Linked DNA regions of Stegostoma tigrinum. The protein of the gene in region 2 interacts with the protein of the main gene of each other region in a pairwise test. Links are inferred from orthologs where the notes say so. Each region holds a gene or a part of one and is shown on either strand. Other genes may lie near its edges.

Region 1 (7,825 bases), on a different chromosome or scaffold from region 2:
TGTCACTCCTGATTCTAAATTTCATTGTTGTTACTGCCACTTCTACACTGATAGGTCATCAGTATCACAGTTATAAAGACTAAGCTGACCATACTGTTCAGCAAGGGAAACTGCCTATTAACCACTGATGAATTAAGACTGGATTCTTGATTCAACATTTTCAATCTTACTCAACTTCCAAATCATACTAAAATCTTGCTGACAATTATGCTTAAAAGGACAGCAGTGTTTCCTCCAGAAACTGTAATTCAGAAATTTAAAAATACAACAGCATTGTACATGACAGGTTGGAGCATACATGGTACAGAACTGGAGGATGCTTTCATTTCAAGTAATGATGATGAGAAGTAAAATAAGTTTGTTAAAATTTAAATCAACTTCCTTGTGCAAGATGGTGACGGAGTAGGATGCTCCAGCAGGAGCTTGTCCACTCTGCCTGTTCTTCTTTTCTTACTCCAAGCTTTTCTGCTCTTTATTCCCCTCTTCAACTCTTATCCTCCAGCAATGAACCCTGGCCTCCCACCCTGGCGCAGCAACCTGTCAGCATGGTATTTTGCTGGCATAATGCGGAGCCGGTGTTCAATGTGGACTGGAAGCTAGGTGCCAGCATGGTTTGCTGTACTGAACTTTTATTTCTGTATGTGTAAATCTTGTAACTAAAGGAATCGTGCCAAGGTTCTTTTGTACCTAAGCTGGCACTGTCATAGGTAACGTATAGTCAATGAGTATGGTGAAAAGTTTATACGTGACAAAAAAAGGCTATTCTATTCTGTTCATTTAATCATGCAGGTAATGTAACTGGTGAACATTTGGCTCAGTTTGTCTTGGTGAAAGTTTCCCAACTTTTTTTTAGATCAACCTGTTCAGCGATATTATACACACTTCAGGGGAAGTGGGACTTGAACCTGGGCTCCCTGAGAGAGCTTTTCCAACATTTAAGTAGCATCATATAGATAAGGAAAAAGATATAATAGTAATTGCCTTATTTGAGTAATTTCTTTCAATTTCCCACCTAGACTATCTGGTTCCTTTGTTCTACAAAAGCTACAGACTAACTTGTACTATTTCCAGCTGTGTGATATACAACACAAAAATGGAGACACAAGGGCAGTCAGAATGTGTAATGATATTTGCATTTAGCATAAAGGGAACAGAACTTAATTCTTCCTTGTAACTGAGGCCTCAGGCTTGGAAAACACCTTTAGAAATAATTTACAAAGTTGTATGATATGCATAAGGTGAATAATGCTTGCAATGCTGAGTTTTTCTTGTTTTCCCTGTATTAGCTATTGAAAAGGCAATTTCAGTTCACATTTAAATCTCAAATATTCTTGAAAAACAAATGCTGATTTTGAAATTAAAAAGTAAATGCAGAACATATTAATATATTCTGCAAAGTGAAAACTCTGATTTCTGTTCTGAATTTGGATCTTGGTTTTTTTGAACAAATAATAACCAACTGCCACATTAAATCTAGTTTCAGATACAGATCAAAGGCCTGACATAACTGAAAAAAAAGTTCTAATTTTTTTTAAAATTAACATTAAAATCAAAGGTTCAGGGCATTCCCAAAAGCTTGGTCGCAGCATGAAAACTAAGAAGTTTGCTGAAAAGTTTGCGAAGGTGATGAAAAGTGACTGAAGTTTTTTAAAAATCCACACAAGGACAAATTTTTTATCCTTTCAGTAACTCAATCCCTGCCTTGAACTGATTCTTGTCAAAATGCCAAGAAGGATGCATGGCAGATAATGCATCAGCACAGAGAAGAAAGAAAATCTCAAGCACAGATAAAAGAAATATACTGCACAAAGATCACACAATCAAAATATGCTGATCCACACAGGGCATTTCAGTCATGTATAAAAGTACCTGTGGCATCCATCTACAACAGATTAATAAACAGGACAGATGAAACTGATTCAGGGCAAAAGCTCTTGGCAAGCTAACTTCAGAAGATATCTTCTTTATACCAAAGCAAATATTAACGATTCTTCTATAGAACGGCAAAAAGCAGTTACTTCAGATATTTTCTGAACTAGTATTTTGACAAACCAAAGTACTTAAATATCAAACACTTCCTATATGGCATAATAATTTATACTGAAACTTCCTTTTTCAATGCAAGTATTCGTACAACTTTAATTTCAGCGTTTCTCTTTTTTTGCAAAGAGGCTACGGTCAAAATTCTTATTTTAATACGGGAAAAAACGTGGCACATTTGAGACCTTCCTCAGTTCACCCAGTGATGATCCATGAAATGGAAATCGAGGAGCCGGGAAGATGGAGGAGCTAGTTTCAAAAGATTTACACAAGACTCAGATAAAAATAAATCACTTCCACAAACTCTTAATCAACTATGACAACACAGAAAAATAAAACGTAAGCATTGGTCCAAGATTCTTAAAGATTCGTGAACCCAACAGCGTCTGGGGTGTACGCTCAGAAAGGTTATTAAAACATCTTCCCCTCGGTGGAAACTGGAGTGAGGAACGTTATTCCATCACCGGACGAGGCTGCGAAGGAAAGAAAGATCAGTCGCATCCTCTCGATTAAATTCCATTTATAAAAAGAGAAATCTTTCGCAGCGGATCACACGGCGCTGCAGTTTAAGTCAACCCCGTCCCTCAGAAGAAAGACTCGCCGAGTCGAGTTTACAGCTCAGAATGGAGGCTCCCACAACAAAAACTTGAGCAAACTTTCCCGGTCGTTAATGTACGTTACTGTCGGGGTCCGAACGGACCGGCTCCACTTTCTCCCCGTTTTCCCGGTGACGCCATGTTGTGCTAAAAGTACTTCTAAGGGGAGGTGTGGGAATAAAGGCAATAACTTCCCCTCCTTTAAAAGTGCATCTGCTCCATACTGCTGCAAAGTGTACGAACAACGAAGAGGAATTAAACAATTAAGAATAACTTGTGGTACTGTCTTACCTGAACGCCAACCAAATAGCCTCCCTCTCCTTCACGCTCCATCGGCAGCACTTCCAGCAACCGCAACACAGTCAAAGCTCCGGCGTCAGGCAGACTGCGACTGCTCACCGCGCTATGGATTAACTCGCCGACCAGCCGCACTACTTTCCCAACTACTTCCAACAAGAGCGAAGCTGTTCAACTCTTAAACGCACTAGGCAGCTTTCATTCAAACAACGCATTGTTTTCTTCCTCTAGTCTTATTCATGTTTGTTTTAAGTTTATTAAGTAATCATTTATACCGGCTCCTTATTTTACTTTTTTGAGTATCGCGATTTCATTTGATCTATTTTCATTTAATTTTCTCTTCATTTCTCGAAGAATTGAATCTTCATTGTATATACAAATATTATCAGAAGACTCGTACTGAAGGTCGCTGGACCCGAAACGTTAACTCGGCTTTCTCTTGACAGCAATTTGTGCTTGTTTTTGATTTCCAGCATCCGCAGTTCTTTCGAGTTTTTTTTAATCATTACTAGAGTCCCTTCCATTCTGAACTTTAAAAGCAGATCTGTTCTAATTCACGTTAAGATCCTGTAACTTATAAGTATGAAAAGCATTATTAAAGCAAATCAGTCCCAGTTTGAACCAGTGATGTAAGCATTTCTACAGACTCCAATGAAAATGATTCCCCGAGTTATCTTGCATTAAAAAACCTCGAAACAAATTTGATTTGTAATGCAATTGTTGTTTCGTCAGTAATTTATCTACAATTTCATTTAACTTATTTGCATTTTTAAAGCTGAAGAAATATGTTGCGTCTCACCGTTGAAATCCTCATGCAGTTCTTAGGAATAAAAGCCAAAAAAAATCAGGATTGTAAATAACAAAAGAATGTTTGGTAAAGATTAAAAGAGAAGCATGGAAAAGAAAGAATTTACATATCTGTGGCATTGGTTTACAGCCTCAGAACAAACGTGCTATACAATGGATTGCTTTTGATCTGCACCTTAAGCAGCTAAATACAGTCGCACATAGTAAAATTCCATGGTGAACAATTACAATCAGATGAATACTTATTCGGGATAGAATTAATATTAACAAAAAAGGTGGATTGATTAACAAGGGTCAGCATGGATTTTGAAAGGGGAAATAATCTTCATTCTGGAGTTTTTTTGAAGAAGTAGCAGAAAGGTTCTATAGTGGTAATACCATTGATGATCGTAGTTATACAGCGAGGAAACAGACCCTTCAGTCCAACCCAAACACTAAACTGGTCCCGCCTGCCTGTTCCTGGCCCATTTCCCTCCAAACCCTTTCTATTCATGTATCTATCCTCATGTCTTTTAAGTGCTTTAATTGTACTCGCATCCACTACTTCCTCGGGACATTCATTCTGCACACGAACCACCCTCTGTGTAAAAACTTTGCCTCGTCTTTTTCCAAAACTCTCTCCTCTCACCGTAAAAATATGTCCCCAGGCTTGAAATACCCCATCCTAGGGAAAAGATAACTACCATTTACTTTAGAAATAGTAAGAACTGCCAGTGCTGGAGTCAGAGATAACACAGCGTGGAGCTGGAGGAGCACAGCAAGCCAGGCACTATCACAGGAAGAGGAAAGCTGACGTTTCCGGTCAGCACCCTTCTTCTCAAATGGAGAAAGAGGAAGGGAGCTGAAATAAACAGAGGGAGGAGGGGTGAGGCTGGGAGAGGTAGGCGGAATGGTGATTGGTGAGTGCAGGTAGGCAGTGGTGGGGATAGGTCAGTGAGGTGGGAGAGACGATTGGACAGGTTGTGTCAGGTCAAGGAGGCAGGGTTGAGAGGGAGGGAGGTGACAGATGAGTTTCAATGTTAAGAAGTATGATGTATTTTAGCAGGAAGAAGATCTAAAAGAGGGGGGATCATGTCTACATGGTGTGTAGGAGCAGAAGATCCTGGGTGTACATGCGTGCAGATTATTGAAGGTGGCAAGAAAGCAGTTAATAAAGCATGAAGTATTCTCAGCTTTATTAACAGAGGCATAAAGTAGAAGAGCCAGGAGGTGAGGTTGGACTTGTATAAGACTCTTCTTAGATCTCAGTTGGAATATTGTGTACAGTTCTGAGAGACATGCTATAACAAGAATGTGAACTCATTGGAGAGAGTGTAGAAGTGGCCTACAAAGAAATATAGAAAATAGGAGCAGGAGTAGGCCAATTGGCCCTGCGAGCCAGCTTTGCCATTCATTCTGATCATGGCTGATCGTCCAACTCAATAAACTGTTCCTGCTTTAACCCCACATCTTTTAGCCCCAAGTACTATATTTTCTTGAAATCATACAATGTTTTCCCTCGACTGCTTTCTGTGCTAGCAAATTCCATAGTCTCACCACTCTTTCTGTGAAGAAATTTATCCTCATCTCAGTCCTAAATGGTTTATCCTGTATCCTTAGAATGTGACACTGGTTCTGGACTCCCCAGCCATCAAAATCATCTTTGCTGCAACCACCTTGTCTAGTCTTGTTAGAATTTTTAAAGTTTCTGTGGATCACCCCTCATTTTTCTGAACACTAGCGAGTATAATCCTAACCTATTCAACCTTTCTTCATGCATCAGTCCCAGCATCTCAAGAACCAGTCAAGTAAAACTTGGCTGCACTCACTAGTAAAAACATCTTTCATCAGATAGGGGAACAAAAACTGCACATAATATTCCAGTGTGGTCTCGCTAAGGCCCTGTATAATTGCAGCAAGACAACCTTGGTCCTACACATGAACTCCTTTCACTATGAAGCACAGCATACCATTTGCTGTCTTTACTGGCTGCCGTGTCCACATCCTTAACTCAGCAACTATTGTACGATTGATTGATTGATTGATTGTCATTGGTACGAAAATACAATAGAAAGCTTTGTTTTCAAGTGGTACAGGCAGATCATAGTAAACAAAGGATGCACAGATCAAAAAGACTTAGACAGAGGCATGCAGGTTACATTGCACAGAGCGTGCACTAGGTGAGATCAACATTAGCAAGATCAACATTATTTGTGGCTAGACAGTCCATTCACCAGTCTGAAAATGGTGGGGAAGAGGCTGTTCCTGAACCTGCTCGTGCGTGAATTTAGGCTTCAGTATCTTCTGCCTGACTGAAGAGTTCATGGAAATCATTACTGAGGTGCAATGGGTCTTTGATGATGTTAGCAGCCTTTCCGCTGCTGCGAGCCATGTAAATAGAGTCCATGGATGGAAGGTTGGCTTTTGTGATGGTCTGGGCTGTGCACAGCACCTTCTGTAGTTTCTTACGGCCCTGGGTAGAACAGTTGCCATACCAGCCCTTCATGCACCCGGACAGTAAGCTTTCAATGTTGCATCTGTAGAAGTTGGTGAGGGAGCATATGGACATGCCAAATTTCCTGAACTGCCTGAGGCAGACAAGGCATTGTTGTGCCTTCTTGACTGTTGCATCTATGTAGCAAGTACAGGACAGGGCGTTGGCTATCGTAACTCCAAGGAACTTAATGCTCTTCACCCTCTCATCTTTAGTTTCATTGATGTATATGGGGTGTGTTCTCCATTCTTCCTGAAATCAATGATCAGTTCTTTAGTTTAGCCAACATTGAGAGACTGATTTTTTTTCATTGCATCGCGTCATCAAGCTTTCTATCTCCTTTCTGTAGTTTGTCTCATTGTTTTCGTGTTTTCGATACCCATCCCACTACGGTGATGTTGTCAGCGAACTTATAGATGGCATTCATTTGGAATTTAGCAACACAGTCATAGGTAAAAAGGGAGTACAGTAGGGGTCTGACGATGCATCCTTGGAGGGCTCCAGTGTTGAGTGTTATTGCGGAGGTGGTGCAGTTTCCTATCTTCACTGATTGTGGGCTGTGAGTCAGAAAGCTGAGGATCCAGTTGCAGAGGGCAGAGCTGATATCAATGTCATGGAGCTTTGTGATCAGTCTGGAGGGGATAGTGGCATTGAAGGTGGAGCTGTAGTCAATGAGTAGCAGTCTGAGTTGGGTGTCTTTGATGTCCAAATGTTCTGGGGATGAGTGCAGGGCTAGGGATATGGCATCATCTGTGGACCAGTTATGTCAGTAGGCAAATTGTGGTGGATCAAGGCAGGCTGGGAGACTGGAGTTAATGTGGGCCATGACCAGCCTTTCGAAGCACTTCATGATCATTGATGTCAAAGCCACCAGGCAGTAGTCATTAAAGCACATTGCATGCACTTTCTTAGGTACGGAGATGATGGCGGTCTTTTTGAAGCAAGTGGGCACTTCGGCTTGTAGGAAGGTCAAGTTGAAGATGTCAGTGAATACCTTCGCCAGTTGGTCTGAACAGGATGAGGTCACATTACACATTTTACTTTTCCAGTCTCTCAATTTGCAGTTATTCAGATAATATTATGACTTCCTGTTATTGCTATCATTGTGGATTCATCACATTTATCTAAATTATACTGCATCAGCCATGCATTTGCCCACTCAATCAACAATTTATGAGGAATGTTCTTGTACAGAAGAAGGCTAAGCTGAGATCTGGTAGTGGTTTACAAAGTCATGACAGCTGGATAAGAGTAAGTAAGCTGAAACTGTTCCTGTTTATGAAAGAACAAGAGTAACAGGGCATAAATTTTAAGTAACCTGCAAAAGAAGCAAAGGAAGATATGAATAGTTCGGGTATGGTCTAGTATGTCTGAAAATGTGGTGGAGCCAGGTACAACTGAGGCAATTCAAGGGGGCATTAGACAATTATTTAAATAAAAATAACGTACAAATGTATAGAGAAAAAGCAGGAGATCAGCAGCAGGTAATGATGCTTGTTGGAAGAGCCAATGCAGGCACAAATGCCTCTGTCTGTGCTGTAAGACTTCTGTGATAATCTTTTTCCAGTTATGTTTGCTGAAGAATATAGAGGAGACTGCATTAGAGAAACAA
Region 2 (8,024 bases):
TAAAAGGGCGAGAAGACATGCATATCAAGGTCCCTCTGATTCTCGGCGCTGCCCAGGTTCCTATTGCTCCATTATGTATTCTCTTGTCTGGTCTGTCCTGCCCCAAGTACATCAGTTCATACTTGTCCGGGTTAAATTCCATTTTCCACTGACTTCCATCTATATCCTTATATAATCTAAGGCTATCCTTACTGTTTTTAACCCCAATTATCATGTCATCTGTGAACTTTCTTTTCTCTATTCATTTATGGGATGTGGGAGTCGTTGGCTGGCCAGCATTTTTTGCCCATTCCTAGCTGCCCTCGAGAAGGTGGTGGTGAACTTACTAATCAATATAATTTAAACATAACAAACAGCAAATGATCGTGGTAGAACCTGATTTCTCTCAGGCTTCCAGTCACTAAAACACCCTTGACCATCACCCTCTGTTTCCTGACACTCAACCAATTCCACATCCAATTAGCCAAAATTCACTGGATTCCACAGACTGTTCTTATCTTTGCCACTAGTCTCCCATGTAGGATCTTATCAAAAGCCTTGCAAAAGTTCAAGTCGACTATGTCAAATGCCCTCATCCATACACAGCAACTTGTCAAAAAAATTTTCCAAGTCAAACTGATTGTCTCCCCATCTCAAATTTCATCAGTTTGCATTTCCAGTAACTCTGAGCTGGAGGGTGCAAAGGGAAACCCGACTAAATGACAACAGCTGTTAGATGCCTTCCCATAACAAATTGAGAGTCCTATGTCTTGCAATAATGATGCCAAGGGGCAAATATGGATGAGAAACTGGAGGGAGCCCTAAAAGCTTTTAAAATATATTCAAACAAGACAAAAACCAAGGCTTTATGAAAGTATTTCACAGTTTGTTACTAGATTCCACAACTACACAGTTGACAAAATAAAGTGAATATAAAACACTGTCAATGACAACTTAGTGGTTTTTAAATGATCAACTGGAAGTAACAGTTTGAGCAAGACAAGCACATTTGACCCAGATGTTTTAGTACACCTTCAAAAAAAAAGGTATTTTTCTGAAACATACCTAAGTGATAAGAACGTTGAGATTTAAATACATTTAGTCAGTCAAATTCCACAGGAATAAAATGAGCTTTCTCTGCTCAAGTTATAATGCTATCAACGCAATGGCATTGGTATTATTGGAAGGGATGTGAAGTGCCAAAATACTACATGACAGTTCAAAATTTTTAAAAAACCCTACATTTCTGCTGCTAAAATGATAAAAAGCTCACATATATACACGTCACAGGCATGATCCAACCAAGATTTCACTCTCCTAGATTTTACTAATATTAAACTGAAAATATTATTTACAACTACATTAAAGGTTGAAAGCCTTGTTTTTGAAATGCACGATGGAAATTGGACTAAAGAATGCAGGAATACAATAATAAAACACTGATGCTACAAATGGCTTCATATCACAATTTCAAAAACAAGAAAGGGAAAAACCGTACGGCAGTAGATCTGTCCTGCTAGAATGGAGGTTTGTAAGTGTAATATTTTGTACAAAATACACAAGTGAATTATTCTGTCATATTTCACCAGGTGAAACATTTAACTCACAATTAACTATTTCTGGCTACAAATGCAGAATCAAATATGGTTGACTCTTAAAACGGTAATTTGTAACCTTGACGAAAACAGTGCAACGACTAGAACTAGTTTACCACAACCAGGAGATAAAATGATAATGCAATACACCAACTTCGCTATACATATTCAATAGACAGACACCACTTTTCTGAACAGATTAAAATTGTCTGGCATTTTGCCATTATCCCACTGCAAACTTGGATGCTTCCATTGCTACACTTACCGTTAAGAACTCCTTCTGTTCCTCCTGAACCCCTCATCCTTATATAGGTAAGTCCCAAAATGACAAAAAATAGACATGCAGCAGTTAAAAGAAACATGGATAAGTAGTGTGCACTGAATCCACCGGTTGCCGAACCCCCCTCCCTTTTAAATTGCTGCAATAATTCCTCCTCAGGCTCTCTGGGGCTTTTGCGATATGTACTGTAGATGTGGTTACTGCCCGTATGGTTTGAGTGATTAGCATTGATCAAAAGGGAGGACGAAGGGCCACTCGGACTAGTAATAAAATTACTTGTGCTGACGTGATTATTGTTTCTGGTGCTGCTCATGTAAAGTCTCTCCTTTTCAGCAGCCAGCAGTCCTGGACTAATCTTTTTGGAAGAGGAATTACGGAACCGCAATAACATGGTGGGCTCCGCTGTGGCGTCTTTCTCCCTCTGATCCTCTTCCTCCTCCTCTAGTTGGTCTCTCCTGGTGTCTAGACAGTAAGGACCGCCGGCGACGTCGTGGATCCGTTTGGCGCCGCCTCTCCTGCCGGCGCCGCTCTCCTCCACGATCACCCTCGGGTTATGACTGTTAACGGTGGCCTGTAATTTCTTGGAGTGACTCCGCCTGGAATTGGGCCTCCGGCTCGATTCTTCTTCTCGTTCATCCTCGGAATCGGAGTAGTTATCCTCCCTAACGTAGGAGACACGATTGCTGCTGCTGCTGTTGTTGTTGTGGCTCTGCATGTCGGTTCCCGGAGGTCGTTCCTCTTCCTCCGGCGACTGCTGGACGCCGCCACATGGATTCGGCCTCCACCAAGGGGTGGGGTTCCCTTTGCCAGCCAAAAGCCCCGCACCACCGCCGCTGTTGTTGCTGTTCACCATTCTCGGAGGAGTGTTCCTCCCCTTGCTGTGACTAGGCCGCGGGCGGGGGCAGTCGCCCGGAGCTTTATCCGTCCTGCTCGTCCTCTTGCCGGCGTCGCTCCTTCTGCCGTTGAGCTCGGCGTCCGACTCGTCCGAGCTGAAACCCAGCAGCTTGCCCGGGGTGATAGGGTTAGTCGTGGGGCTGGCCGACACGCCGAGGCCCAGGCCCGAACTCGGGCCTGTCCCGCCGCCGTTCCTGGTTTTAGGCCTGGCGCCGCGGTCCTCGCGCAGCTTCTTGAGCTTTTTCAGGTAGACGGGGCGCGTGCTCTCGGTCACGGGACCCGGGACCAAACCGAACTTTTTCAGTTCGGAAAACAATTCCGCGTCCGTTAACTGCGCCGCCATCTTACCGCGCGAGGCGTGAGACTGCCGGAAGTGACGCTACAGGCTCGCTGCACCACCCCCCGCCCCCGGGAGTAGAGCCGGCAGGCGGGAGGGCGCACAGTGCTTTAAACTGGCCGAGGAAGAGAGGGGCCTTAAAAGGGAAACGTCCCCCATTCTCTGTTAACCTGGCCAGCTCATTCCAGTCGACTTGGGAATGATACCGAGAACTCTGGGTGCTGAAGATCGGGAAATGCCAAACACAAAACAAAATACTGAAGCGCCTCAGCAGGCTTTCAGCTCGGGTGGTGGTGGTGTGGGTAAGTCAGCTCCAATGAATAGTCATGATGAGCCGTAACGTTAGTTTGCTCTCTCTCCATGGACGCTGCCTGACCCGCTGTGATCTCTAGCATTTGTTGCCTTCAGTTCAAGAGTTAGCGCTTCATGTCCATTGAGCCTTGGCCGGTTCTGAAGAAGGTTTCTGTTCTGAGGAAGGGTCACCGGACCTGAAACGTTAACTCTGATTTTTATTTTCCTTCACAGATGCTGCCAGACCCTGCTGAGCTTTTCCAGCAACTTCTGTTTCCGATTCTGAAGGCGGCTCACTGCGTACGAAACGTTAACTCCGCTTCCTGTCCACAGATGATGCCAGAACTGTTGAGTTTCTTCGACTTGGGACACGCTCAGCTTTTGCGAACCCGCTCCACTCCTCCAGCTCTCTTCAGCTGTTGTTCCTTTACATTTCACCATTAGTTTAATCAAAAATGAAACAACATTCCTGTGTTTGCGTTGCCAGCCCAGTAATTTGTCTTGAGATTGTGGGACGTCCAAGGAATATTCGGGCATCACAACGGCAACCCCGGTTACAGTCCAAGTGCAGCCAAAATCAGAATCCAGACTTTCATTTGGTTGAGTGAGACGGCCTGCACATTTTAAAAATGGTTTTGTTCGCTCATGGGATGTGAGTATCAACGTCCAAGGCAGCAAACGCCTAGTTGCTCTTTAAAAGGTGAGAATAAGTTGCCTCCTTGAACCGCAGCAAATCATGTAATTGCGCCACAGGTGATGACTGCAGTTTCAGAGCCGTCCAGCGACATCGTCATAACCGAAACAAATTCCGTTATTTTCCACATATGTCATTCCAGTTTGTCCTTTTCTAAGATCTATTTTTCTCTATTCGGTTCCTATTGCTACATTAGTTTGTCTCTGCAGATGTGGAAAACAGGTAACTGATATGGAACTGGGATTTCCAACTTTTGTTGGACATGTTCCAAAAGGCTTTATCCGAGTGGGCTCTCACCTTTTCACAGGTAAACACCCTTCTACCCATTTTCAATGCTATTACTTCAATACACATGTTGTTCAAATAAAATGATAATTAAAAACTCAACTTATGTATTGATTTTTCCTATGGTCACTTATGATCTGGAGGTGCCGGTGTTGGACTAGGGTGGACAAGGTCAAATCAGACTGGTTTTATTTCCAAAGTAGGAATTTATAGATTTGCAGATTTGTAATTGTAGATATATCCCGTGTTGTTCAAAAAGCACACAATTTGTAGACAACAGTGTGAAGCTGGATGATTACAGCAGGCCAAACAGCATCTCAGGAGCACAAAAGCTGACGTTTCGGGCCTCGACCCTTCATCACATTGTGCTCCTGAGATGCTGCTTGGCCTGCTGTGTTCATCCAGCTTCATACTTTGTTATCTTGGATTCTCCAGCATCTGCAGTCCCCATTATCTCTGATCACAATTTGTAGACAGTCAGTCAATGTGGCATTTTATAAATCCCTACTTTGGAAATAAAATCAGTCTGACTCCAAGTTAAAACACAGAAGGTTCTAAACGAGGTCTCACATCTAAAACGCATTGTCTGACCAGAGATGTCACCCATGGTATACTGATAAAACCTATAGTTATCTCAGGGCAGTGACTTGAAAGAAATTCTTAGATTTGCATATTAATCAATCAAAACCTGCATCTCCTTTCTAACTGATTAAAGATTTACAGCCTTCTTAAGTTTTTTTTTCAATACATTTGCGTCAGTTCTATGACCCTTTGATCTTATAAATTCTGTGTCTGATGTTACCTCTCTTACTAACACTTGAAGGAGTGAGGCTCTGAAAACTAGTATTTTCAAATAAACCTCAGAGATAATGGGCTTGGGAATCCTGCAGCCCAATGGTATCAATTCGGACTTCACAAGCTTCAAAATCTCCCCCTTACCCCACTGCATCCCAAAACCTGCCCAGCTCATCCCCACCTCCCTAACCTGTTCTTCCTCTCACCTATTCCCTCCTCCCACCTCAAGCTGCACCTCCACTTCCCACCTACCAACCTCATCCCGCCTCCTTGACCTGTCCGTCCTCCCCGGACTGACCTATCCCCTCTCCACCTCCCCGTCTAGACTCTCCTCTCCACCTATCTTCTCCTCTATCCATCTTCGGTCCGCCTCCCCCTCTCTCCCTATTTATTTCAGAACCCTCTCCCCATTCCCATCTCTGATGAAGGGTCTAGGCCCGAAACGTCAGCTTTTGTGCTCCTAAGATGCTGCTTGGCCTGCTGTGTTCATCCAGCTCCACACTTTGTTTTCAAATAAACCTGTTGGACAATAATCTGGTGTTGTGTGATTTTTGAGCTATGGGTACTCATAGTAATGTCCATGGGACTCTGCCTTAATTCGTAGATGTTTCATGTTATTTCTAAGAACTGCAAGGTAAATACATAGTCTCTGATTTCTGTTTTAATATTAAAACTATTATTGAAATAATAAAGTTGAACAATTAAGAGAAAACCTATTGCAGTATATTCCATAATTTTCTTAATAATCATCTGGACAGTGCTGGCAAGATCAGCATTTATACCTGTCCTTAATTGAGCAGATGATGCTGATCTGGTTTATCGAACCACAGCAATCTGTATTGTGGTAGGTACACCTACAGTGTTGTTTGATAGAGACTTTGATGATTTCCAAGTAGTGAATGAACAGCAATTATGTTTACAAATCATAATTGTGTGCCATTTGGAGGGAAATGTGTATGTAGCTGATAATCCTCCACTCTAACCTTTGTGCCTCTACTGATTAAAAATATGTTTACCTCAGCCTTGAAATATACTCAATAACCCAGCATCAACAGCCCTCCATGGTAAAGAATTCCTCAGATTCTCTATCTTCAGAGAATAAGTTCCCTTGTCATTCCTGTCCTAACTGGATGATGCCTTACTCTGAGAATATGTCACAATGGAAAATAACCTCACTATATGAAACTTGTCAAGTCCCTAAGAATCTTATATGCTTCAACAATGTTACTTCTCATATTTCTAAACTCAATACAGACCCAACCTATTCAACCCCTCATGAGGAAATCCCTCCATATCTGATGAAGTAAACTTCTGGGCTGCCTCCAATACCAGTACATGCTTCCGTCGATAAGGGGACCAAATCTGTTCACAGTATTTTAAATGTGGTCTAACTACTACCTTAGAGATAATAAGATGCTCCTTGGCCTGCTGTGTTCATCCAGCTCTACATCTGTTATCTCTAACTACTACCTTACATAGGTTTTTATAAGATTTCTCTGTTTTTACATTTCATTCCCTTTAAAACAAAGACCTAAATTCCATTTGCCCTCCCTACTACCTGGGAATTTGTATGCTTTTTCTTTGTGATTTTATTCACAAGGGCACCCAAATTCTTGTGTGCTGCAGGTTCTGGCAGTCTTTCTCTGTTTAGATAATACTCAACTACTCTTCTTCCTACCAAAGTGCATAAACTCACATTTTCTGACATAATATTCCAGCTACCAATTTTTAGACGTTCAAACTCATTTTTGAGGTGCAGCAGTGTAACATGCCCTCTTTCCCTAACATAAGTCCAGGGTCAACCACATTGCTGTGGGTCTGGAGTCACATATAGGCCAGACCAGGTAAAGATGGTTGTTTCCTCCTCTAAGGACATTAGTGAACCAGAGGGGTTTTTCCCCCAACAATTGACAATGGATTTGTGGTCATCACTAGATTCTTAATTCCAGGTATTTTTATTGACTTTGAATTTCACCATCTGCTGTGGTGGGATTTGAACACGGGTCCCCAGAACATTACCTGGGTCTCTGGAGTAACAGTCCAATAATAATACCATTAAGCCATCACCTCTGTCTACCTGCTGGATCAATAATCTATGATGGGTTTTCCATTATTTTATATTGCAAGCCTTCCTTCATCTTTGACATCTGTACAGCTTCACACCTTGTAGGATTTGCCTAATTAGCAAGATTTTAAACAGGGTGTTAGCTATTTGCTCACCTTAGAAGCTCTTCATGCAGAGCTTATCCAATGTTATGCTGTGTGACAATGGCTGTCCTGATCAGGTCATTCTTTGCTATGGATTGCATTAACTTGCAAATAGGCCAAACCTGAAAAATGTCTGATGTAACTAAAATACCCTGGCAAGGCAAAACATCTAAAATTTCAACAAAATAAAACAATTTCACACTGTTACTCTGCAATAGTTACATGAATGGAATTTTCAACTTACAGGATGTTGTTATTGATCCAAAAAAAATCAAACTAACACATAATTGAACAACCTTGTGTATAATTTCATTGATGGTGTAATGCCATGTAAGTAAGTTGTACACCATAACAAAAGAATGACTGAATCAAACAACACGTTTATTCAATTGTTTGAAATAGCCAAAAGCCAATTTAAAATTACTGCTGTAAGATCTGATTTCGCAATTGGGTAGCACTTGTTAAATTTCCTGATTGTGCTAATAGCTGCACTAACTCAATTTAAAGTAATCCATCAAGATTTAACATGGCTCATTTATGCTTGCTGAAAGTGGCATATATTCATATGCAGTGATTTGTTTTCGCCGAACAAAAGCAATATCTTTAAGCCTTGCAACTTCCTTTAATTACAATAAAATTTAGGGAGTCTATAGTTCATTTCCATGG

Evidence for each region.
Region 1: the proteins of lemd3 (region 2) and smad1 interact in binary tests that used the Homo sapiens proteins (3 or more experiments, as listed by UniProt). The link is inferred for Stegostoma tigrinum from reciprocal best matches to the Homo sapiens genes LEMD3 and SMAD1.

What each region holds. Positions count from the first base shown.
Region 1 is NC_081354.1:46,819,969-46,827,793, forward strand, and holds the start of smad1 (mothers against decapentaplegic homolog 1), read right to left. Parts: upstream 3,029-7,825; 5' UTR 2,928-3,028; intron 1-2,927. UniProt on the Homo sapiens protein: Transcriptional modulator that plays a role in various cellular processes, including embryonic development, cell differentiation, and tissue homeostasis.
Region 2 is NC_081371.1:39,258,225-39,266,248, forward strand, and holds the start of lemd3 (inner nuclear membrane protein Man1), read right to left. Parts: upstream 3,143-8,024; 5' UTR 3,092-3,142; coding exon 1,840-3,091; intron 1-1,839.